6 linked regions of the Callithrix jacchus genome follow. The protein of the gene in region 5 purifies or fractionates together with the protein of the main gene of each other region. This does not show direct contact. Links are inferred from orthologs where the notes say so. Each region holds a gene or a part of one and is shown on either strand. Other genes may lie near its edges.

Evidence for each region.
Region 1: the proteins of ARPC5L (region 5) and ACTR3 purify together in Homo sapiens (affinity purification with mass spectrometry; 6 studies listed by BioGRID and IntAct, counting the BioPlex papers as one, with this or other methods). This does not show direct contact. The link is inferred for Callithrix jacchus from reciprocal best matches to the Homo sapiens genes ARPC5L and ACTR3.
Region 2: the proteins of ARPC5L (region 5) and ARPC2 fractionate together in Homo sapiens (co-fractionation; 7 studies listed by BioGRID and IntAct, with this or other methods). This does not show direct contact. The link is inferred for Callithrix jacchus from reciprocal best matches to the Homo sapiens genes ARPC5L and ARPC2.
Region 3: the proteins of ARPC5L (region 5) and ARPC1A fractionate together in Homo sapiens (co-fractionation; 7 studies listed by BioGRID and IntAct, with this or other methods). This does not show direct contact. The link is inferred for Callithrix jacchus from reciprocal best matches to the Homo sapiens genes ARPC5L and ARPC1A.
Region 4: the proteins of ARPC5L (region 5) and CAPZB purify together in Homo sapiens (co-immunoprecipitation; 3 studies listed by BioGRID and IntAct, with this or other methods). This does not show direct contact. The link is inferred for Callithrix jacchus from reciprocal best matches to the Homo sapiens genes ARPC5L and CAPZB.
Region 6: the proteins of ARPC5L (region 5) and ACTR3B purify together in Homo sapiens (affinity purification with mass spectrometry; 3 studies listed by BioGRID and IntAct, counting the BioPlex papers as one, with this or other methods). This does not show direct contact. The link is inferred for Callithrix jacchus from reciprocal best matches to the Homo sapiens genes ARPC5L and ACTR3B.

Annotation. Positions count from the first base shown.
Region 1 is NC_133507.1:98,527,287-98,531,666, forward strand, and holds the start of ACTR3 (actin-related protein 3), read left to right. Parts: upstream 1-1,560; 5' UTR 1,561-1,770; coding exon 1,771-1,814; intron 1,815-2,101; exon of another isoform or gene 2,102-2,268; intron 2,269-4,380. UniProt on the Homo sapiens protein: ATP-binding component of the Arp2/3 complex, a multiprotein complex that mediates actin polymerization upon stimulation by nucleation-promoting factor (NPF).
Region 2 is NC_133507.1:139,959,676-139,963,748, reverse strand, and holds the start of ARPC2 (actin-related protein 2/3 complex subunit 2), read right to left. Parts: upstream 2,843-4,073; 5' UTR 2,783-2,842; intron 2,725-2,782; exon of another isoform or gene 2,662-2,724; intron 2,450-2,661; 5' UTR 2,442-2,449; coding exon 2,368-2,441; intron 1-2,367. UniProt on the Homo sapiens protein: Actin-binding component of the Arp2/3 complex, a multiprotein complex that mediates actin polymerization upon stimulation by nucleation-promoting factor (NPF).
Region 3 is NC_133503.1:14,253,260-14,257,656, forward strand, and holds the start of ARPC1A (actin-related protein 2/3 complex subunit 1A), read right to left. Parts: upstream 2,867-4,397; 5' UTR 2,764-2,866; intron 1-2,763. UniProt on the Homo sapiens protein: Probably functions as a component of the Arp2/3 complex which is involved in regulation of actin polymerization and together with an activating nucleation-promoting factor (NPF) mediates the formation of branched actin networks.
Region 4 is NC_133508.1:56,259,386-56,263,009, forward strand, and holds part of CAPZB (F-actin-capping protein subunit beta), read right to left. Parts: intron 1,869-3,624; coding exon 1,727-1,868; intron 1,061-1,726; coding exon 944-1,060; intron 1-943. UniProt on the Homo sapiens protein: F-actin-capping proteins bind in a Ca(2+)-independent manner to the fast growing ends of actin filaments (barbed end) thereby blocking the exchange of subunits at these ends.
Region 5 is NC_133502.1:173,467,722-173,470,504, reverse strand, and holds part of ARPC5L (actin-related protein 2/3 complex subunit 5-like protein), read right to left. Parts: intron 1,559-2,783; coding exon 1,486-1,558; intron 253-1,485; coding exon 76-252; intron 1-75. UniProt on the Homo sapiens protein: May function as component of the Arp2/3 complex which is involved in regulation of actin polymerization and together with an activating nucleation-promoting factor (NPF) mediates the formation of branched actin networks.
Region 6 is NC_133512.1:95,420,024-95,423,647, forward strand, and holds part of ACTR3B (actin-related protein 3B), read right to left. Parts: intron 2,447-3,624; coding exon 2,273-2,446; intron 781-2,272; coding exon 688-780; intron 1-687. UniProt on the Homo sapiens protein: Plays a role in the organization of the actin cytoskeleton.

The sequences.
Region 1 (4,380 bases), on a different chromosome or scaffold from region 5:
CAGACTCCTTCCCTGCCTTCCACCTTCCTTCCATTCTCCCACTCCTCGCCCTCATTTCTCAGAGTCCTCAGTTCTCTTCTTTCTATTGCACTTAACACAATTTGTCTGTTTCCCGCTAATCTGTAAACTCTACAAAAGACCTTAACTATTTTCCATCCCAGGGAATATTCAGAGTCAGCAGAGTCCCTGCCATAATAGAGTAGGTAAGCAATACTTACCTGTCAAATGAATAAATGAAACACCCAATTCCATTTCCCAGGCCAGCTTAATACCACACTACACGATTTTATGGACTGAATAATATATCCCTCCTTCTAAAAAATATTTTTATTTTAGCTTCACATTAGTAAACTCAGAATGGTTTATCATAAGAAAATCTTGGTGGAGAGGAATGATATTAACCTTCTAGGTTTCTAAAGTGGAACTAGGAACTTATTAGAAATGTGAATTTCTAATTGCTGGGGTGTGGCCCAGCAATCTGTTTTAACAAACCTTTGAGGTGATTCTGATACACACTAAAGTTTGAAAGGTTTCTTTAAGGCTTTCCAGTTTTCTTTTTTTTTTTTTTTTTGGAGTGATGGTTGTGGGGGGTCCTCCCTATGTTGCCCAGGCTGGTCTCGAACTCCTAGCCTTAAGCTCTCCTATTCTTCCACTTTGGCCTTCTAAAGGATTGAAATTACAGGCATGACCCACTGTGGCCGGCCTCCGTTTTTAACTTAAAACTTTTTTTGGGGGGGGGAGTGCCCTTAATCCTTTCTATTATACTGCTAGTAGACTCTTACTACTCCTGAGGGGAATCGTTGTCATAATCTAAAAGCCTTGAATAAAGACCTATTTGGATGGCGTATACTATGTAGAATACATTCCTGGGAGGTTTGCCTTCCTTAGGGACCCAGGTCAGCCCTGGGAGGTGGAGGTTGGGGAGCAGGGCTACATTCTAAAGTCCTGTAACAATGCACAAGTACAACTGAATAAAACCCGCAACAAAGGCCTAAGGACCACGGTGACAAGTCTTTGTTCATCCATTCCCCGACTGCTCACCCTGATACCGCTCTTTTCCACCCAGAAAAGCAGCCACTCAAGTTTTAAGAATGGATGCATGCCGCAGACGTTTTCGATTAGACCGCTTTCTCCCAGGACCTGTAGGATATTCGCGGCTGCAGGAGGCGCTTCCACTCTTTCCCCAATCTAGCAAAGAAGCAACTGAAACTAACCCAAGGGCTGCAACCGAAAAGCCCCTTCCAGCTTCAGAAGCAGAACTAGAAGCTCGGCTAGACTTCGCCTCTATCCTCCTGGAAAACTCGCAGTGGATTTCACTAACTTCGGGATCGGAGCCCGGGCAGGCGAACGTACCTTATTGCGCATGCTCGCTGGCCCCTCCCGCTCGGAGCGGAAGGGGGAGCTCTCCGGGCCTGAGCCTGGCCGGGCCCGGGCGTCGGCACCGGCGGCCATCTTGGCTTCCCGGGGAAAGGCGGCGTGAGGGGAAGAAGTTGTAGGGTGGGGGCAGGAGTGAGGAGGAGGGAAGAGAGAGGGGGAGGAGGCCGCGGCGGGGCAGGGCGGGGACTGCCTGCCTGCCCGGGTTGCGGAAGTGATAGCCGCTGACCGAGCCTGCTGCTTTCTTGCTACTGCTTCGGCTTCCCGGCTACCCCCCGGACGGTGAGGGCGGCCCGGCTGTGGATGGTCAGATAGCGCCTGTCTCCCGCCGCCAATCTCTGGCCCCTAACAGCACGGAGCAGACGGCGGCAGCAGCAGCAGCAGGCTAGGAGGAAGATGGCGGGACGGCTGCCGGCCTGTGTAGTGGACTGTGGCACGGGGTAAGGGGGCTGACGGGCGGGGGTGGGGAAACTGAGGCGGAGGAAGGAAAATGGCGGGGGAGGGAGGAGACCGGGAAATGAATGGTGCGGCAAGGTGCCGCCGCCGGCTGTCAGTCCTAGCCCCGGCGGCTAGCAAGGGGTGGGGCCCGGAGCCAGGGCCTCGCCGGTCCCCTAGTTTCTCCCTCCTAGGACTGGGGCGGGGGCGCAGGCCCGAGATTCAACCTCCAACCCTCCCAGCGGCTTCCTCCGCGCGACCCCCCCCGGCCCTTCCCCCACTGCGGTGGGCTGTGCCGCCCAAAGAGTGCTGGGGACGGTCGCTTTGGGGGTGGTCCCCGGGCCCAACCCATCCGGCTTTCCTTTCCTTCCGCGCCCCTTTTCCCCGTGGGTTTGGGGGCCCAGGGGCCGTGCTCGGGGACTGGCCTGGCAGAGGAGCTAGAAAAGAGAAGCGCTCCTGGTAGGTTTTGCAAGATCGCTGTGACAACACTCTGCCCAGGGTGTGGGTGGGGAAGGGGAAGAATCGGACTCTGAAAATGGGAACCTACAGCGGGGCTTTCATTTGACCACCCACCTTCTCTTTTCGACTCCCGGTCATTTCCATCTCCCTCTGCATTTTAACCGGTGAACCAAGTCACATTTTAATTCGAGAGAGAAAAATGTCATGTGTTACTTCTGTAGCCTCAAAAAAGTCCCCCAGTGAGCAAGCGCGCTGCAACTTCCTTAGTTTTGTCAAAGCCGCTTCCTGCTTTCAGTCTTTTATACCCTTATAAGGTAGTTTTTCGTTTCCAACCTGAACACAACTTATTAGTACTTTTAAAATTAAGCAGGTTTTAAAGAGACGGAATTAACGGTGCTTGGTATTCATTCATGTAACTTAAAAAAATGTACTTGTGTTTCATGGAGAGGGGAGAAAGGAAACACCCTGGAAAATAATTTAAGTTGCATACGTTCCTTCTCTGATGGTATCTTGAAGGAAGGAGGAAGGAAGGTATAGAGGTATATAGGAATGTGTTTAAGTTGCACATAGTTACTCTTAGATCTGTAGAGCTGTTTGCTAAAATATAGAATGGCTTTAAAGTGGTCATTCATTTTGTATTAATAGACATTTTAGAGAGTTGTACCACACTTTGTATAACTACATAGAGAATAGGCTACTTTTATTTTAATGTAGAATCACTGCTTCACGATGACATATAGGAAACTGTTTTCTTTTTTCTGTGATTACATCGCTCTAATTCCCAAACACTCCCAGTTTTATTTTTGAGGGGGAAGGCGTGAGAGGTGGACTGCAAGGCTTTTAAAAAAATTATTGTTAATCATAATTATTAATAATATTCATTATTGTTCCTTAAAAGATTGTATGTCTTTCACTCTTTATTCCATGTAAAATTTCTTTAATCTTCATTCTCATAACTAGCTAGTGTGGCAGTTTCTAAAATCACAGTCAGGTAGAGAAACAACCAACTTAATATTCTCCCCAGGAAAACACTAGCCTAGATGAGCTTTGGAACATCTATGTATTTTTTTGATGAACACTTGATTAGTTTCTTCTTAATCCAGTCTCATTTCTCTGAACCAATAATATTTTTTCTTTCTCCCTTCTTCGTTTAATTGGTGAGTAGTTTTATGTCTAGGTTCAGTTTTAAAATTAGATTTGACCTGAGTCAGTAGGACTTTTCCAATATGTTTTGTTGAAGTGACAATATGGCTACATAATTAATGTTTTAGAAATTACTGAGTTGTCAATAAAAATAGTGTAAATAATTGTGGCCCTAAGAAAGACTATGGTAACATCTCAAGTAGTATGTTACTTTTATTCTTTCCATTTTTTCCCTTTTGAAATAGTTTCAAATTAGTATACTAGATGTCTCATTGAGGTTAACTGTCCTTAAGTGACCTCCTTTCCTAAAGGGCAACCTTGAATTTAAAACATGCTGAATGACCAGTAGGATCAGGGAGAGGGGTTCAGTTTAATCTAGGATATGTCTGTTTTAAAATTTTGATTTTTACAGTAGTATATTTTTACATTATTACATTGGTTTCCCCGACAAGGAGAGGTTGCTAACTGCATTCATGATTTTAATGGAACTGATTAGGAGTCCCTTTGCCAGCTCACTCTCTTTTACAATTTGTCACTACCTGAAAATCTTCCTTTAGAGTTTCAGTTATTTTGGTCCTCAAAAGGCTTTTTGGTCTCTTAAGTTGCCAGTGGTTCTTCCAGGAAAGTTACACCTTCAACTTTATTAACACATGGATAAGTCCTTGAGGTTGGGCCCCTGAGATAAGCATCTCTAAGTATGGCCTTAATAGGGAATTTTTACATTTCAAAATTCTGTGGTCCCCGAATGCAAATTGTGCACCTATAATTTGTCTATTTCTTTATGCTTTAGAGAATGCATTCAGCTCTTAAGTCTCTAGATTACAATTGCCCACTTAGTTTAAGCAAAAAATTATAACCTGAATCAGGTCGTTCATTTTATTCATTATATAAATTAGGGAAAAGGTGGCTGATAAAAAAAATGGTCATCTGTAAAACTTGATTGTCTTAGATAAGAAGGCTGTTAAGAGT
Region 2 (4,073 bases), on a different chromosome or scaffold from region 5:
TGCTTCATTCAGGCTTTTGCTGGGTGATAAATCTGTAATTCCAGGAAAGCCCTGCCTACTAAGCATGATATCATGGCTCTTTTAAAAGATTTTCAAAGTTTCAATTTTCAGCAGAATGTTTTGAGCCCACTTATTGAAGACCACATCTGAAAGGGGGAGATGGGCCAGAATAAAATCCAAAACTTATACACACACCCACACACGTGCACACACCCATGCACCCCCTATACAACTTCCCTACAATGCCTATCTTTGTAAAAAATGTCCTGAGGCCAGCCGGAGCAGCTCACATCTGTAATTCCTGCACTTTGAGAAGCTGAGGCAGGCAGGTCACTTGAGGCCAGGAGTTTGAGACCAGACTGGCTAACATGGTGAAAACCCATCTCTACTAAAAATAAAAAAATTAGCAGGTGTAGTGGCACGTGCTTGTAATCCCAGCTACTTGGGAGGCTGGGACATGAGAATCACTTGAACCTGGGAGGGGAAGGTTGCAGTGAGCAGAGATCATGTCACTGCACTCCAGTTAGTGAGACTGTCTCAAAAAAAAAAAAAAAAAAAAAAAAAAATCCTGGAAGTTCTAACTTATGTTTTCCAGACTTGAGGGCCTATTTTGATCCCTCTGAAATGGTTAGCTACTCTTTTAAAGAATAATTTCCTAAAAGAAAGAGGTGAAATTCCGAATAATGGGGCACATTTTGGAATCACGAGTCATAAATACACAAATAGACAAGAATGTACTCCTATGTTAAATGACATGCCTCTACTTGAAAATACATAGCCATTTATCTTGTAGATCAGCTTAGGACCGCCCAGGCTTCATTCTTTGCTAGTCTGGACCTGAGAATGCATTAAGATCAGTTGTGAAAATGCAGAAGTTAATTCAACTTCCTCCTAAATGCTACACTGCTCAGAAAAAAGTATACAGCAATCATCCAAAATAAGACTCTGGGCTGATTCATTTGAATATTTAAAATGCAAAGACACTGGTAAGAGAGGCTAAGACAAGAAAGAAGCAAATCGGCCTAAAATATAAACAACAGCAGCCCCTGGCAGGGAACAGTACTGCTCACTACACATATTAACTTCAAGAAAGTAGTGCTTTGTTTTACAGATAAAATCCATAGCCTTAGAAAGGAGACAGGACATACTATACATTCAGTTTAAATGGTAGCTAATAATTTTTAATGCCTCCAAGCCACAAATACATTATGGCCACTTAAAAATTCCCCTCCACTGATCTCCCATCTGTGGCTCTCCAAACACTTTCCTATTACTAGTTCACCAGAAACAGTTTGCATTTATTTCGTCAACTGTGAAACCAAGATGTGAAGCCCCACGCTCCTAGAAAGGGAAATGAGGCAAAGGGACTGGCCACAGGCCACCAAAAATTAGAACCTAAAACCCTGAGCTCATGTTTTAAATACTATATTAGAAAAGCAAAACAGCTTTGGAGGAGGAGGTTGTCTTCTACTGATGCCTGTGTTTGGCAGAGAAGGCTGCCTGGGAAATATATCCTAAGCCCACCTTTTAAAAAGTCCAACCCTAAAGAAAGCTTATCTAAGCACTACAGATTCTGGAGGCTTTGAAGTGTGTCACTGGGCCAGGGTTACCACAGAAGAAATCACAGACCAGGGTCTTGATATAAGAATTTACAAGATAACCAGATAAAGACTAGTGGATGAGGAGAGAGCGTTAGAACCTCAGAGGAGAGATAAGGAAGGGGTGCGGACCGACAGACAACTGGCTTTGCTTGAAAAATATGTAACAAAATGGCCCAGTGTCTCTCACAGAAGGATTCGGGGAAGGGAAACCAGAGATCGCTTTTTCCGGCTCTGAGACTCTGTCGGCTTTCAGTCTTCTCTTCTGCTCCTTTTAGAGGAGATGGGGGTGGGGAACGAGAATGCTGGTGGCGATGTGGGCCTGCATCTCCTTCCCTCCTTCAGTCCTGGGAATTCCTAAAAACTCCTTCCAACCCAATTTCAAACAGGCGCTCTCTGGGTTCTGAACAATGCCGGGGAATTTCACACAGGGAAGGGGTCTTCTTCTCTCCCGAGCGGGCAGGGGGCTCCTCCAGCGAGAGTTCCGGCCCCAGCTGCCCCCACGTCCCACAGGTCTCCTGCCCTTTGGCTCGCACAGTCCTCAAGACTCGCCGCTTCCGCATCCCTCCTCTGAGCCTCTCCCCACGCATCTCTACCCCTCGCCCCGCCGCGCCCAATCGCCTCCCACGTCTACCCCGCCGGGGCAGCCCCTACACCCTGCCAGGCACCCCATTTCTCTCCTCCAGGTCTGGGGGACCGGACGACACTAGGGAATAGTTGGGGTCAACTCTGCCTCCCCCGCCACCCCCAGCCCCAGGCGCGCGCTCACCCGGCGGCCGCGTTCTCGAACTTGAGAGCGAGCGTCTCCTCGATGATGCGGTTGTTCACCTCCAGCAGGATCATGGCGGCGGCTGCCCCGAGCAGGGGAAGGAGAAATAAGGGCCGGTGAGGGTGGGTAAGGGAGTGAAGGACAGAGAGCGGCCCTGCTGCCCCCTGAGGAGGGGGGCTGGGTGGGGTAGGAGGTTAGGGGAGAAGGGGAGAGGGACCGGGGTGGAGGGAAGGGTAAGACGCACGCGCTGGCCCACGCACACAGACTGTGGAGACAGGCACCCACCCAACCGACCTGGCCCCCGAAGCCTGAACCCGCCTGCCGAGCCGCCGCCGCCGCCACTGCCGCTTCACGGACAAGCCCGGTCCCCGCCCAGCCCCCGGCTCTAGCCGGCCACTTCCGCTCTCACACCCACTTCCGCTCGCCGCCCGGAGGCGCGATCCCGCGGCGCCATTTCCGCTTCAACCCCTTGTGCACGCGAGCGCAGGCGCGCCGGAGGAAACGGAGGATGCGCTTGCGCAAGTGTGATGCCACCGCCCCACCTCTACTTTCCCACAGACCCCCTTACATCCGCGGTCTGCCAGTGCGTCCCCCGCGAAGCTGACGTTCCCCGAGGCTTGCCTGATTGTTTAGCTTTTCCTTCCTGCCTGTCCCAGAGATCCAACTCCGTTCTTCCGGTCTTGTCATTTCAGAGACCTCGCAAGAAGCTCGCCCTTGTCGTCTCCCAACGGGCTTCTTTGCTCCTAGCTTGTTTCCTGTGGGTGCACCCTTTTCAATTCAGGCTAATAGCTGTCCAGCGACACCATCACTCATTCATTTCTCTAACAAATATTTCATGGGCTCTTGCTCTGCAGTGGGGATGTGGTGGCGAATGAAATAGACGATGTCCTGCCCTCATGAACTTAGAGTCTGGTAGAGGAAACAGACAATAAACACATTCTCAATTGTTTAAGGAGGCCGAGAGGATAGGGAGAGGCTCAGAGGAGGGATACGGAAGCAGCAAGTGGTCAGACCTGTGCGTGCACAGGGCAGGAGGAGACCTGTGGGACGTGGGGGCAGTTGGGGACGGAACTCTGCGCAGAGGAGCCTCCTTGCCCGCTGGGGCGAGAGGGGAACCTTTCCCTGTGTGAAATTCCCCGTGTTGTTAAAAGGGCAATGAGGGAAAGGAATGAGAGGTCACCTGGGTGTATAGGCAACTTAGGCCCCCCTGAGTTCCTGCCATGCCTCCAATTCTATATGCCTGGGGAACTGCGTCCAGGTGTCCAGAACATAATTTTTTTCCTGCCTTTTAAACCTATACCTTCCAGTACCTCTGGCAGAAACATAACCCTCTTTGTTACCTGCGTGTGGAAACTTAACTCATCTTTGTGTTACATCTGCACCTTCTGCCTTTATGCCTTGTTTTGTTTTCCCTCCTCCGGGAAGAATATAACAAACTTAGCTGAGTCTCTTCTACATACGAAGAAATAATTTATTTTCTGCTATGTGTTTGGGGTGGGGATAAAAATAACAAGAAACTAGCTCCTATCATTAAGGCACAGATAGCCCTTTGAGACATTCCTTAACGGGCTATGGATAAGCTTCGGGATATTGCTGATCCCCCCAAATTATATGCTAACCTATTTTTTTTTTTTTTAATTTGAGACAGTGTCTCACTCTGTCACTCAGGCTGGAGTGGTATCGCTATCTCGGTTCACTGTAACCTC
Region 3 (4,397 bases), on a different chromosome or scaffold from region 5:
AACACTCATGTTTGTCAAATTTAGAATGCACCTAGCAAACACAGCTTGCATTCATGAAACCCAGTGAATGCAGAAGAAATTCCTAATAGCCTGAATTATATACTAAGAAAGGGTACCTTCTGTCATAGGGTGATAATTATAACTTCTAAACTATGGTTAATGTTTAAATGAAATCTGAAAAGCTTTGTCTTAGTAGAGCTAGAGAGGAAGAAAAGGGGACAAATAAAAATGTGAGCCACCCTCTCGCCTCAGCCCCCTGAGTAGCTGGGACCACAGGCATGCATCACTATGCCCTGCTACTTTTAATTTTTTTGTAGAGACAAGGATCTCTCTATGTTGCCCAGGCTGGTCTCAAACTCCTGGGCTCAAGCGATCTGCCCACTTCAGCCTCCCAAAGTGTTAAGATTACAGGCATGAGCCACCGTGCCTGCCCCCCATCCCTTTTCTTTATCACTGTGTATAGAGTTATTCTGATGTATGGCTAGCCATGGGCTCTGAAGCCAAGGCTGGCTTTGAATCCTGGCTTTGACACACACTAGCTATGAGACCCTGGGCAAGTCACTTAATATTTCTCAATCTCATTTTTTTTCCCCTCTGTAAAGTGGATATACCACTGACATCACAAGGAGAATTAAATGAGACAACGTGTGAAAGCAAGTAGTACAGAGCCTATTCTGAAATACATGTCAGTAGGTTCCCTTTCTTCCTTTGACCCAAGGCTTTTAAACCAACCATAGAACCCAGCAGTTAGTTTCCTCTGAGCTTATAATTGTTGACATTTGCTATAAATTCTTGGCCCTACTCCTTTGGAGCTTGAAAGTATTCACACAAGTGGGAATTTCTGTCCCTGGTTTTGGGTCAGTTTTTAAGACCGTGATTCACCTAGTTTCTAACCACTCTCATTACCCAACCCAGCAATATCAAGTAATCCAACAAGGTCACCACACCCTCCTCAATGTTCAGACAGGCTCCAGTCCAGGCACCAACCTCACCAAGAGACCATTTTAAACTTCTTCATGAAGGATTTGTTTCAGCACTGGGAAACAATTAGATTAAAGTATGGCAACTCCACCTCCAAAACAAGAGTTTTCCAAAATGATCCCTTCCTTTAAGTGTGATTAGTAGATGAACTCCACAAGATCTTCTAATACATACTCCGAATATGGGAGAAAATAGCCATATAAGCTGGGTGTCGTGGCTCACACCCGTAATCCCAGCACTTTGGTAGGTTGAGGTGGGGGGAGAGCTTGAGCTCAGGAGCTTCAGACCAGCTTGGGCCACATATCGAGACTTTGTCTTTACAAAAAATACAAAAAAAAAAAAAAAAAAAAAAAATTAGCCAGGCGTGGTGGCTCACCCTGTAATCCCAGCTACTCAGGAGGCTGTGGCGGGAAAATTGCTTGAACCATGCCACTGCACTCTATCCAGTCTGGGTGACAGAGTGAGACTCTGTCTCCAGAAAAATAAATGAATGAATGAAAATTCACCCACTGTGGTGGCACATGCCTGTTGTCCTAGCTACTCAGGGGGCTGAGGTGGGAGGATCTCTTAAGCCCAGGAGGTCGAGGCTGCAGGGCAGGAAAAAAAAGGAAGAAAACAGCCACACAGTTACCCACTTCCTAACGGGGCAAAAACAGCTTCCTGACTGATACCCCTCCTTTGTTTTTACCTGAAAACTCAGGGCCTATGTAAAACCGAAAGACTAGATAAAATTGAGAAGAGAGGGCAGAATTAAGATAATCTCGGCAATTTAAGCTATGAGTTGACACAGACAGAAGGTTCCAAAGCTGCAGTAGAACAGATGGCTTTATAATCAAAGATTCTAAGCTATAATTTATTAAGTGCCTACCATGTTCCCAGCAGTGTTGTAAATACTGGGATGGGGACAGAAACATAAATAAGGCTGACACCATTCTGGTCTTCAAGTCTGGAGGGTTGGTGGTTGCTAAGAGTGGAGAAGGTAGAAAAGGAAAGGGAGACAGATATGCACAGAACGCCCAGAAGCAGTAATGATAGTGAATATTTATTGATCACCTACTCTAGGCCAGGAACTATTCTAAGCAATTTATGCAAATAAGCTCATTTGATCCTTAGCAAAACAGTAAGAATCTTTTTTATTGCATGAGGAAAACAGGCACAGAGAAGCAGTCTTCCCAGGATCACCCAACAAAGTGGTGGTGCCAAGACTGGCATAAAAGATTTTACGAACAGGAGAGCCGAGAAGGGTGCGATTTTGACTTGGGGGAAGGCGGTACTCATGCAGGGGGATCTGAAAGAACTCAGAAGAAGGTTTTTCTCGAGATCGGAAAGGTTCCCCAGTAACTGAAAGATTGAGGGCTGCCTAGAGAGGAGGCAAACATCCTATGGGCGCCTGCTGTATGCAGGGATCGACTCCAGACGCTAAAGAGATGAATGGTCCCGCGGGACGCTCGATTAGGGGATTCTCCTGCTTGACACAATTTTAGAGACGGTGACAAATGTCCCCAGCAGAGGTGCAATCAGGACCCTGGGGCGCAGAATAGGTCGTTAATTCTGGCATTGGAGACGGCTAGGAGCTTGAACATCAAGAGAGAAACTCCAGGGAACCCGCGGAGAAAGGGGATCCCCGCCCCCTCAGGAGGCCCCAGCAGACCCGGCCGCGCCTCAGCCTCGGGGCCCCGCGGCCTAAGCCCCCACCTCACCGCCCCCGCGGGTCCAAGTCCGGCGCGAGACCGGGACAAGAGAGGCCGACAGGGTGAGACGCTTGCCCCTGCTGGCCGTTACCTGGGGTCCGGGGAGTCCAGACAGGCTCGGAGCGGAGGATTCGCGGACTCTGGGCAGTCGACGCGAACAGGCTCCGGCGGGCGCGGGCGGAGGACGGAAGCCCAGAGGGAGCGGCTGACAGATCCCGGAAATAGCCACGGCGCCTGCGCGGTGAGGCCGTGCGGGCGGTCTGCGCATGCGCATAGCACAGGCGCGCAGTCCGGGTTTAGGTAGACTGTGGTGAGGAAGGGTACGCGGTCGGATTTGCTGCTGCTGCGGCACAGGCGGTGGCCTTTCAGAGGGAATGTGGCCCCACGGAACGCCTGTCAAGTGCTGGCGAAGCGGCATGGGCGTCCCATTCCGTTCCTCAATCAGTTTCCTCACAATCGCGAGCCAAAGTGTGGCGCCTCGGCAGTTTCGCAAGTTCTTTTGTCAGGAAATAAGTGACTGAGGATTGGGGGGTCTTTGGAGCTCCTGGACCTGACCAACGATTGAGTTTTTCTCTCTTCAGAGAGCCCAGGTCAGAACCAGTCGACCTCAGCGCTGCTTCGTGCAGGGAGCCCCCGCCCCCGCCGTGCTTCCACTGTGGAAAGCCCCTGAAGTCCCCCAGGAACCTTCTCGAATCTTCGCGGGGCAGAGTCACTTGTTCCTTTCTCCCAAGATGGCGCCGCAGGGAAAAAGGTTGGGGGAGCTAGGCTATGCCCCCAGTTCACAGAGGACAGCTTCTGAGGTTTGCCGTGGTTCCCCCATCTGCAACTAGGCTGCTGCCCTTGAACCCGTAGAAATTCTGGAGCAGCTTCAGCCCCCACGGATGGGACTAATCGAGAGCTTTCCTTTTTGTTATTCTTTTTCTTTCTTTCTTTTTTTCATTAAGACAGGGTCTCGATCTGTAGCCCAGGCTGGAGTGCGGTGGCTCGATCATAGCTCAGTGCAGCCAGGAACTTCAGGGCACAAGCGGTCCTCCCGCCCCAGCCTCCAAAGTAGCTGGGACTACAGGTGTACACCACCACGTCTGGCTAATTTTTATTTTTATTTATTTATTTAGAGACGTTGTTTCATGTTGCCCAGGCTGGTGTGCAGTTGCACAATCTTGGCTCATTGCAATCTCTGCCTCCTGGTTTCAAGCGACTCTCCTGCCTCAGCCTCCCGAGTAGCTGGGATTACAGACATGCACCACCATGCCCGGTCATTATTTTGTGTTTAGTAGAGACAGGGTTTCTCCATGTTGGTCAGGCTTGGTCTCGAACTCCCAACCTCAGATGATCCGCCCGCCTCGGCCTCCCAAAGTGCTGGGATTACAGGCGTGAGCCACTGTGCCTGGCCAGCTAATTTTTATTTTTTGGTAGAGTCAGGGTCTTGCAGTGTTGCCCAGGCTGGTCTTGAACTCCTGGGCTGAAGCGATCCTCCCTCTTTAGCTTCCCAAGGCCCTGGGATTATAGGTGTGAGCCACTGTGCCTGGCTAATTTTTATATATTTTTTTGTAGAGATGGGGTTTTCCTATATTGTACAGGCTGTTCTTGAACCCCTGGGCTCAGGTAGTCCTTCAGCTTCTGCTTCCCAAAGCACTGGGTGTGAGCCCTGCCCCTGTGCCAGGCCAACCAAGGATTTGTCTCCTTCCCTTTGGTATTTACATATTTTATCCCAGTGCTTGGTTG
Region 4 (3,624 bases), on a different chromosome or scaffold from region 5:
CCGTGTGGTTTCTGCTGATACCAACTTCGCTGAAGGCAAAACAGGATCCTTCTAAAGCCCAGTTGTGCTTGGTCTGTGCTTTCTCTTTCCTCTTCACGCCAAGCAGCTGGTGGCACTGCACCGTCACAAGGTTAAGGCCTTCTCTTGGGATGGGGGTTGAAGGGGCCTGAACGTGGACCCTTATACAAGGATCTTAAACCCACCTAGATGCTTATAGGAACAGCTATAGTAGAAGTGCAGGCAAATCTGCTCAGGGGAGGCAGGACCTTCCGGTCCAAGTCCAAGTTTGCCTCAGACAGAACCTGGGAGCAACACTGTAGAGAAGGGTCGCTAGTGATACCCAAACAAAAGATGGGTAAGAGAGAGGTACCCAGTAGGGCACTTCTTAAATTTCAATGCGCACACATTACCTGGAGAATTTTGCGAAAATGGAGATCCTGATTTGCCAGGTCTGGGTGGGGCCCGGTATTTCTGCCTTTCTGACAAGCTCTTAGGTGATACTGATGCTGGTCCTTGGACTAGGCTGAGGGCTGCAAGGTGCAGCAGGTTAAGTGGCTTCCAGAGAGCGGGCCTGACTGATGGGCCGGGCATGGCCACAGAGACCGCAAACAGAGCCAGGAACGGCTTCTCACAGCACAACGTGAGCCTGAAGCATGGGGGTGTGTGGGGCCCTGAGGGGTAAGGAGGAGCCATGGCCAGCGCCTGGCTCCCTCAGCAGAAGGCTAGCACGGTGTCGGTAGCTGTGGGCAACCTCATACAGCCTAGAGGGCTTTCATTGAAATCGCATTCATGAAAATGTGAAGCCCTACCTACTCAGATGGTGGATTTACAGCTGGCTGAACACATTTACCCTAAATGGGGCCCCGGCTCACTCATCTGTGCAGATCAGTGCTGAGGCCAGCACTGGTGGGCACAGGCACGTGGCTAGGAGCGGTAACTCTACCTGTCTGGTGAGGCTGCCTCCGAGGTTCATGGTGCCAGAGCCGGATTTGTTGGTCTGCAGCCACAGCATCACCGTGGAGGTCAACTTGTAATGGGCGGTGCGGCCGCTGGATTTCTCCTGGAAGGACAAGACAGAGACCTGCTGAGCTAGGGAAGAGCCTGAAGTGGCCCCTTAAACTCAGGGTTATCCTAACATCTCCCTTCCTAGGTCATTATTCAAATATTACCTTTTGTTTTGAGACAAAATCTGGCTCTGTTGTCCAGGCTGGAGTGCAGTGGTATGATCTTAGACACTGCAGCCTCCGCCTCCCAGATTCACATGATTCTCCTGCCTCAGCCTCCCAAGTAGCTGGGATCACAGGCGCCCGCCACCACACCCGGGTAATTTTTTTGTCTTCAGTAGAGACAGGGTTTTGCCATGTTGGCCAGGCTGGTCTTGAACTCCTGACCTCTGGTGATCTGCCCGCCTCAGCTTCCCCAACTGCTGGGAGTACAGGCATGAGCCACCGCACCTGGCCTCACAATATTATTTTTCTTATAAAAACCTGACTGGTTTTTAAAGGGACAACATTTCTAATTGTGTATTTCTTTTGGGAACTTAATAATCAATGACCACTGCAGTCTTGACTTATCTTTATCCAAATGGCTTTGAGGCATTTTTCAGAATTAGCAGGGGTTCAGAGATCACAGCATTTCCCCTGCATCTGCTGGAGAGCAGGGCTGCACTGTTTGGTGTGCCATCTACACTCGGCGGCCCCGGCCACCAGCTGCTGGTGGGCAGTACCTGCACTTCCACCACGTGGATGGAATCCCAGCAGCCTTTGATCTTCTTTGATCCATCTCCAGCCTTCTTTATGAGGATCACTCCAGCAAAGCCATGATCCAGATCCCAGAGGTAGACAGATGAGACGCCGCCTTCAAAATACCTGCAGGAAACAGGCCAATGTGCCTGTTAGATGTTAAATGACAGATCATCAGCCTGGGTCCCAGGCTGTTGCTCAGCCAAGATTCACCTGAACACCTGTCTGGGATTCGGGGCCTTCCCTGCAACGGCTGTAGGAGACAATCCTTAGGTGTGTTCTGATCGTCCTCTCGCTGGGGGAGGTGGTGCAGCACCCTTGGGGGAATATTAGGTTTAGTGTCATAAAGATGAATTTGAGTTTGGGCTCCGCCACCTCCTCTAGCTTTGTGGTCTTTGGATTACTGAACCTCTCTGGGCCTCACACTCCTTCCAGATAAAAAACACAGTACAGCGAGTGACATCCAGTGATAATCCATGCAGGCCACAACCACTGGAGTGACCACGGCTGTTCGATATTTCTGTCTTTTGGGATATTTTATAGGGGAGAAAATATAGCAACAAACTCCCTACATCCTGATCCCTCCTGATCCTGGCAGACCAGGGCTCCTGCTGATCTTTTGGAGCAGCTTCCCACAAAGCACTAGATGGAAATGAAGGGCTCAGCTTGAGACAGAGCTTCCGCCTCAAATCTGAGTCAATACAGAAACATCTCTTTTATTTATTTATTTATTTTTGAGATGAAGTCTCGCTTTGTTGCCCACACCGGAGTGCAGTGGCACCATCTCAGCTCACTGCGACCTCCACCTCCTAGGTTCAAATGATTCTCCTGGCCTCAGCCTCCCGAAGTAGCTGGGATTACAGGTGCGCACCACCGCACCAGGCTGATTTTTGTATTTTCAGTAGAGATGGAGTTTTGCCACGTTGGCCAGGCTGCTCTGGAACTCCTGATCTTACGTGATCCTCCTGCCTTGGCCTCCAAAGTGCTGGGATTATGGGCATAAGCCACCACCCCCCACCCAGAAACATTTCTAATTATGATCAAATAGAAGAAGAAAACAAAAGGCAAGATGAAAAAAGGGAATCAGTCTGGGATCCCAAACCCAACCGACCCAGGTCAGCTACTGTGGCTCACTGGGGCTGCCATGAGCAGAGTCGAGGGGTGGGGTCAGCTGATGAGAACTGCAAAAGCTGCTGATAACCAACGGAGACTATGCGAAATCTCATTTCTTGCGGGGAAAGTCTGTAACCTCTCCAATCCCAGTTAAGCCCCAAAGAGAGGACTCTTATCTCTGCTGATAACCAACTGTGAGCAATCTCATCTCTCATGGTGAGCACATCTTTATCAGAAAGTCTCAGGCCTCTCTGACCCCTATTAAGCCCCAGAGCCACAGTGTGGTAGGTGTATTCTAGGAGCACACTCCCTCAGCCCCACACAGCTGGGAAGGTGGGCAGCATGGTGCACTGGGTAGGCAAAGGCTTGGGAGTCAGACTCAGTGACAGCTCTAGCACCCCCAGCTATGAGCTATGCTCAGGCATACATCTGCCCAACAACTATTTACTATGGGACCAGCTGTGTGAACATGGGCCTTAGGGACTTAATCTACTTTCCAGGGCTGTTGAGAGACAAAAACGATTAAGAAATTAGACACCTGCCAAATGGTCATTGTCGTTTTCATTATTAAAATTAAGTATTAGAATTAACATGTATCTATATATAATGTCTCACCAAAGCTATTATACAACAAAAAATACACACGGTAAATGTTCATATTTAGAGAATGTGGGTGATGGGTACAAGAATTCTCTGTAGTCTCTCCCCATCCTTTTTTTGTGCAATCTTACAGTAAGTCATACTATTCCAAACTAAAAAGCTTTTGTAA
Region 5 (2,783 bases):
TGGAAAATCTGGCCCGCTGATTGAAGCCTGGGGCAAGCCCAGTGGCTCACCTGGCGCGGGGCAGTGCTCACATACCTTTTCATGCCACTGGAGCAGCACTGCGCTGCTATTTTCTGTAGGCTTCTCAAAGCCTTTATAAATGTACTTCATTAACAAGTCAACGCCGTTTCTGTCCAGTGACTGCACAGCCTGCTCAATCTCACTGCTCTTGAAGTTTGTGAGCACTTTCAGCACCACACCCTGGGCTCTTTCCTGCAGACGAAAAAGAGCAAGTGAGACCCAGAGTGGCACTAGCACCACTGTGCCCCACACCAAAGCAAGGACCACTGATCACCAGAAACACCACCCAGTTTCAAAATAGTCCAGGATGGTTAAAATAAGCAGGCTAGAAGGTCTTCTGAGGATTTAAATTTCAAAGTATCCTTTGTTTATGCCAACAAGTTATTCTACTTATTTTGGGGGGAATAAGTTGTTTACTAGGACAAATATCAACTCTGTGTGAGAGAGAGAAGAAAAAAGAGAAAGAGGGAGAGAGGAAGAGAGAGAGAGAGAGAGAGGGTGAGAGGGAGGGAGGGAGGGAGGGAGGGAGGGCAGGGTCTCACTCTGCTGTCTAGGCTGGAGTGCAGTGGTGCAATCTTGGCTCACTGCAGCCTGTTCCAGCCATCTTCTCACCTCAGTTAGGGCTACAGGCACATGCCACCATGCCTTTTTTTTTTTTTTTTTTTTTAATTTTTAGTACAGACAAGGTCTCACTATGTTGCCCAGGCTAAACTCCTGAGCTCAGGCGATCCTCCCACCTCCCAAAGTGCTGGGATTACAGGCATTAGCCACGGCACCCAGCCTATCACTATTTTAGATGACACCAATAAGGCCTTATTATACTCCACAATGGTGAAGTTCTATTAAAAAATAAAAATAAAACCAGGCTGACTTGGCTGCAGCGTCCCTCATGTTCACACCCAGGAAGGGTGGGGCCAGTCCCCAGAACTCTGCAGGTGCAATCAAGATGCTGTCACAGCTGCCAGAATCCCAGGTGCAGGGAGACCCTTTCCCTGAACCAAATTTTAGCCTTTGTGATGCAGAAGCACAATTTAGAAGGTAGGAAATCATACAGGTACTTAAAATCCTTAGGCAGACGAAGCCCATCCAACAGCCTGTAAGAGCATAGGCACCACAGGCTGGAGAAGTCATCAGTTTTCCGCATCAGCCAGGGCCAGGCTGACTTCTCAGCCTACGAGGCCCTGAGCGGGAGTGAAGGCTTCTCTGGGGAGTTTCTCCTATAAACACTGACAGCTTTGATGTTGGAGGAGCCTCGCCATCTAGGGAGTGCCAGGAGGCTTCTGTGGAAGCACTGCCCAGTGCCAACTCACTCCCCTGGTGCAAATGAAACGGATGCAGGCCAGAGCCCCAAGGAGCTCACACCGGGCAGACACCCACAGCCCTGGTCCCAACAGCACCCAGCAGAACCGCATGTGACCCCTTTACCTTCACGGCTTGATTCTTGGTGTTGACGGGAGAGTTCCTCAAGGCTGCGTGGAATGCCCGAAGCATGTCCCCTGTGATGGCCATGAGTTAAGGATGGCTAGGCTCAAGCACGTCCACACTCTCATTAACAAGCTCACTTCAGAAACAGCTCAGGGAACAGAGTCAGACAGGATCTCATCCATACCACCCACTTTCCACAGCTTCCAGGAGGGCAGGTGTTTACAGCCCGCGGAGGGTGCAGGGCACCTCTGCCAACCGTGCAAACCCTCCTTCTTCCTCCTTCTCCACCTTCCCCCTCAAAGCAACTGCCCTGGAGGGGGAGCTTGCTGTAAAACCATTGTGTGCTCACTTGCACCTGCCTGGTGCTGGGCACGGTATCGCCCCTACCGGATCCTCACAGCAACCGTACATGTGAACTGGGGATTGTTCCCATTCTAAAAAAGGGAAAAGGAGACCTCCTAACTTTTCATCAATGCTCTTTATCAATTAAACTATAAAGGAAATTAAACTGTTCTAAAACTTCTAACAGCCATCGAGATCAGTGAGGTCCCAACTGTTTCCAGGAAAGAGTTTATCATCTAAAAGAAGCTTTTGCCAACAATGAACCAATCTCTACCCCTCCCCACAACCTCAGCTGCAGTCCTGACAATAAATTCTTTGCTGAGTTCTGAATACCCAGCATGCAAAAGAAAATTACAATCTGGGTTAGGTCCCCAAAGGTGACACCTATTTTAAACTAAATTACATCAGCCAACTTTCATTTCCTCATGTGAAACACTGGCTTCAGCCAAAAAGCTTCAAAAATAGAACAAGGAATGGCTTCTGCCCAATCGGGTCTCTACTCCTCTTCATGCAGTGATACCCACGTGCAGGCAGGAAGGGCCTTCGGAGCAGAGCTGAATCTCCTGGCTTCCCCAGTGTGAGCTCCATCTTGTGTGATCTGGGTCCAAGCCACCAGGCAAGCCACTCCCAGCCCTGGTTCCCCAGCTCCCTGCTTGGCTCTGATCCACCTTCCACACTCGAGAGGCGGCTGGGAGTGTCTTTCAGCTCTGGAGTTCCTTTTCCCCATCCAAACAAGGCCAGCCTGATATCAGCCACGGACAACCTCTACCTTGCAACTCTTTTCTAATGTGGTGTCCCCAAGCAAGAAGCAGGATCCCAGAGGCCGAACAGGAAACATAGGCTTGCTTGCTCTTCATGTAAACCTGGCACAACGGACAAACAAAATCATTCTGATGATGGATGGGGAAGGGCAGGGATAAAACTAGTCCACGGGGGCAGAAAGCCACTGCTGTGGA
Region 6 (3,624 bases), on a different chromosome or scaffold from region 5:
TTGACTGTCCCATTTTGGGCTCTACTTCTATCTGACAACAGCAGGTCGGCACTAAACCCAAATATGCATGAAACGAAACCAATGGAGCTCACAGACAGCATGGGGGAGGGTATCACTCTGACTTTCAATCAATATGTGTGGCTAAAACTGTCCAGCTTAAGATATATCTTGTCAGAAAATAAAATATATTTACAATACTTAAATATTTATAGTTGGCCAGGTGCGGTGGCTCACACCTGTAATTCCAACACTTTGGGCGACCAAGGCGGGTGGATTACCTGAGCTCAGGAGTTCAAGACCAGCCTGGGCAACATGGTAAACCTTGTCTCTACTAAAATATAAAAAAAAAAAAAAAATTATCCAGGCGTGGCAACAGGTGTCTATTGTCCCAGCTAGCTACTCAGGATGCTGAGGCAGAAGAATTGCTTCAACTCAGGAGGCAGAAGTTGTAGTAAGCTGAGATCGCTCGGTTGTACTCCAGCCTGGGCAACAGAGCAAGACTCCATCTCCAAATAAAAAAACTTCTAGTTAATTGAGTCACTTTCCATTTTCTCTTACAATTACACTGTCTTTAATAAATCCTATAAAACAGAAGGTGAAATAGGACCATCTGCTAGCACTAGACAGTAACACCCTCGTCTAAGAATGTGGAATGAGATGGAAGTCTCTTACCCAGGCAGCTCATACCTTATACAGTGGACGCCGCACATCGATGGGGCAGTTCTGTATCACTTCATCAACAACGTCCGAGATGGACTCCATGAAGTCTGGGTTGGCAAACTGAATTGTGTATCAATATAAAACAAACATTGCACATTTCTCTCGAATAGAACAACAGGAAAACTTCTGTAAAGTAACTTTAACAAATATACAATTTATTAAAACTTAAAACAATTCACATTGGAATGAAGGATATGTCAAATGAATCCCACGTGACTACGTGTGCGTGGGGCAGTGATGACAAATTTCTCCTCATGAGGTAAAACGTGTGGACTTAGTGAAGAAAAAATACCCAACAATAACAAAGACAGACCATCCCTACATCATGAATACACAGTGATTTGCCTAATAAGAGAAGTGGGAAGCATGTGCACGATCTGTGTGAAGTGCAGCGAGAAGCGTGAGTGTATATCTGACAATAGTGTTAGGAGAAAATTAGGATACAAGGAAAAAAGAAACAGGTTCAATGAAAGATTAATTAAACTTGCTCTAGAAGATGGGGAAGTGTTTTGTTTAATGAGAAGTTTGTTTAAAATCAAACAAGCCACATGATGACCATGTTACTGAATACAAAGCCTTAGATTCAATTCCATAAGTCACATAAGCTAAAGTATAACTAATTCAGCTCAATTACATTTCCTTTGAAATATTTTAAAAATCAAGGAAAACTTCAAGTGTCAACTCAGAGGAAGGAGGAAGACGTTCAGGTGCTCACCAGCTGTTCTCTGGACATGTGACACATTTCCATCAATACTATTAAAAGTGAGCATTCACTACACTATCACTGGTATAATTTTATTCATCAGATTACTAGTGAGGTAACATTCTCTGCTGTTTCTCTGTACAAAATAGACACATACATATCTAAAAATAAGAAGCAGTTTATAACCCACCTTCTGAATATAAACTGAATTAGCCAGGAAAATATACCAAAATATAAATAAAATGCATTATATGTAAATCTTAAAATGTGCCTCTTAATTACCGTTTTCTGCAAAAGTACTAATAATTCCTTATGACTGCTAGTTAAAATAACATTTCTAATTCTTAAGATTATCTAAATAACAGAAATGCTGGCCTTAGACAGAAGCTTTACCTAAAACCTGCAGCAGGGAAGAGCAGGACCCACTGTCCAGGGTTAAAATTAGAAGTTAGGAAGGGCAATCGCCAAAGATAAAAAGGTTATAGATTATCCCACTCTTATGCACAGGCAACCTCCATATAGTCCTTGAGATTAGCTACCTGTAATACCAGCATGTGACCACCCACAACCTTTGGAGATTACTTTCGATTCTATCATCTCCTATTGCTCCTGAACGTCTTCCCATACGTGGTATAACCCACCCTTTACTATTAAAGCAGATAACCAAGTCTATGAAGAGGCAAACTGAACAATCTGTCAAGCAGACAAACTGCGCGGGGGACACAGGGAGAAGACCGAATGGCAGCCACCCTGCTCACAGGCCCTTTCCTGGGAACCACTCTTTCTGCACTCTGGGTGGCAGTGTCGCTCCATCCACACGCTTCAGCACACGAAAAAGAAGCATCTTACCTCCGGATGAAAGAATATTTCAGGTCCCAGGAACCGTTCATAACCAACATCTATAACGAACTTCTTCTGGTTGATCGCATTAATGCCCGTGTACTGTTTGATCCACTTCCGAGGATCCACATCATACTTGGCAAATTCCTTGACTATATCGGGGCAAATGTAACAGTATTTCTCCTGCATACACACACAAAGACGTTGCCAGGCATTAACAAGTGCCCAGCGTCTCTGCCCTCAGACAAACAACCAGGAACCCCAGGCAGTAAGCACACCCCTGGAATCAGATCTGCCCCCACTGTAACTCTAGGGTGGATGTGCCGTCAAGCCTCACATTCCACATGACAACACTTGGACTTTGGACAGTTACGTCTGCTTTCTCTGCAACTCAGCTATTAATCTCAGCCTTGGTCTATCCAATTTTACTGCGATCCTATCTGAAATGATATCTACAGGTGTCTATAAGGACCTTGTCTTGCCTTGTTCCTCTGAGGCGGCCCCTATGGCCTGCCCTGGCACCTCTCTGTTGTCCACACTGGACCAGCAGATCCGTGCTACAGCCTCATCTACCGAGTGCAGCACCGTCTATCCCCTCACACCTGACTGCAGCAGCTTCTTTGGGTCCCAGCATGCCACAAGCCAGGAGGCCACTATCAACCTGCGGGTTGTTAATGTGGTGTGGAGTCGGCCACAGCACTGTCATCAGCTCCCCTGACACTACTATCTCTTTAAGGTAGAGATACTGTACCTTGTTGACAGGGTATTCTAAGTCCCTCGATCAACACATATTTATTGTCTAGGCACTTCAGATACACAAGTGAGTGAAACACACACAGATCCCTGCCGAGATTACACTCTAGCTGAGAGTCAGACAATACGCAACCATAACAAGTAAATGACATGGTAGGTTCCGGGGAACGAGGAAAAGCAAAGGCAGGCAGGAGGCCTGAAGCCGTGCTGCTGCGAGAGAACTCACTTACAGTTCTCAGCGACAGGCAGCCTGAGGTATGCAAAATGTCTCCTGGTGTGACTGATGCTCTTGGACACCTCTGTGTTGATCATGTGTCCTGAACGCTGACCTCAGCAAAGCAGCAGGTGACCCCCAGGTACTAGATGCTGAAAGTACACTGCCTACAGGAAGAAACAGGCAGGCTGCCCAGCTGGCACTCGACACACTGGAAGGAATGGCTCCCTCAAGGACCTCCAAAGATGTTCTCGAGGTATTTAGCATCCCTGAAACATACTCTAATGCCATCTTCTGGGTATCTCTGATATACTCTAGTGGAATTTTAAGAAGACTGATAGGCCAAAAGTGTTACACAACCCTGTATTCCTTGATGACACAGAGAGAGACAGGG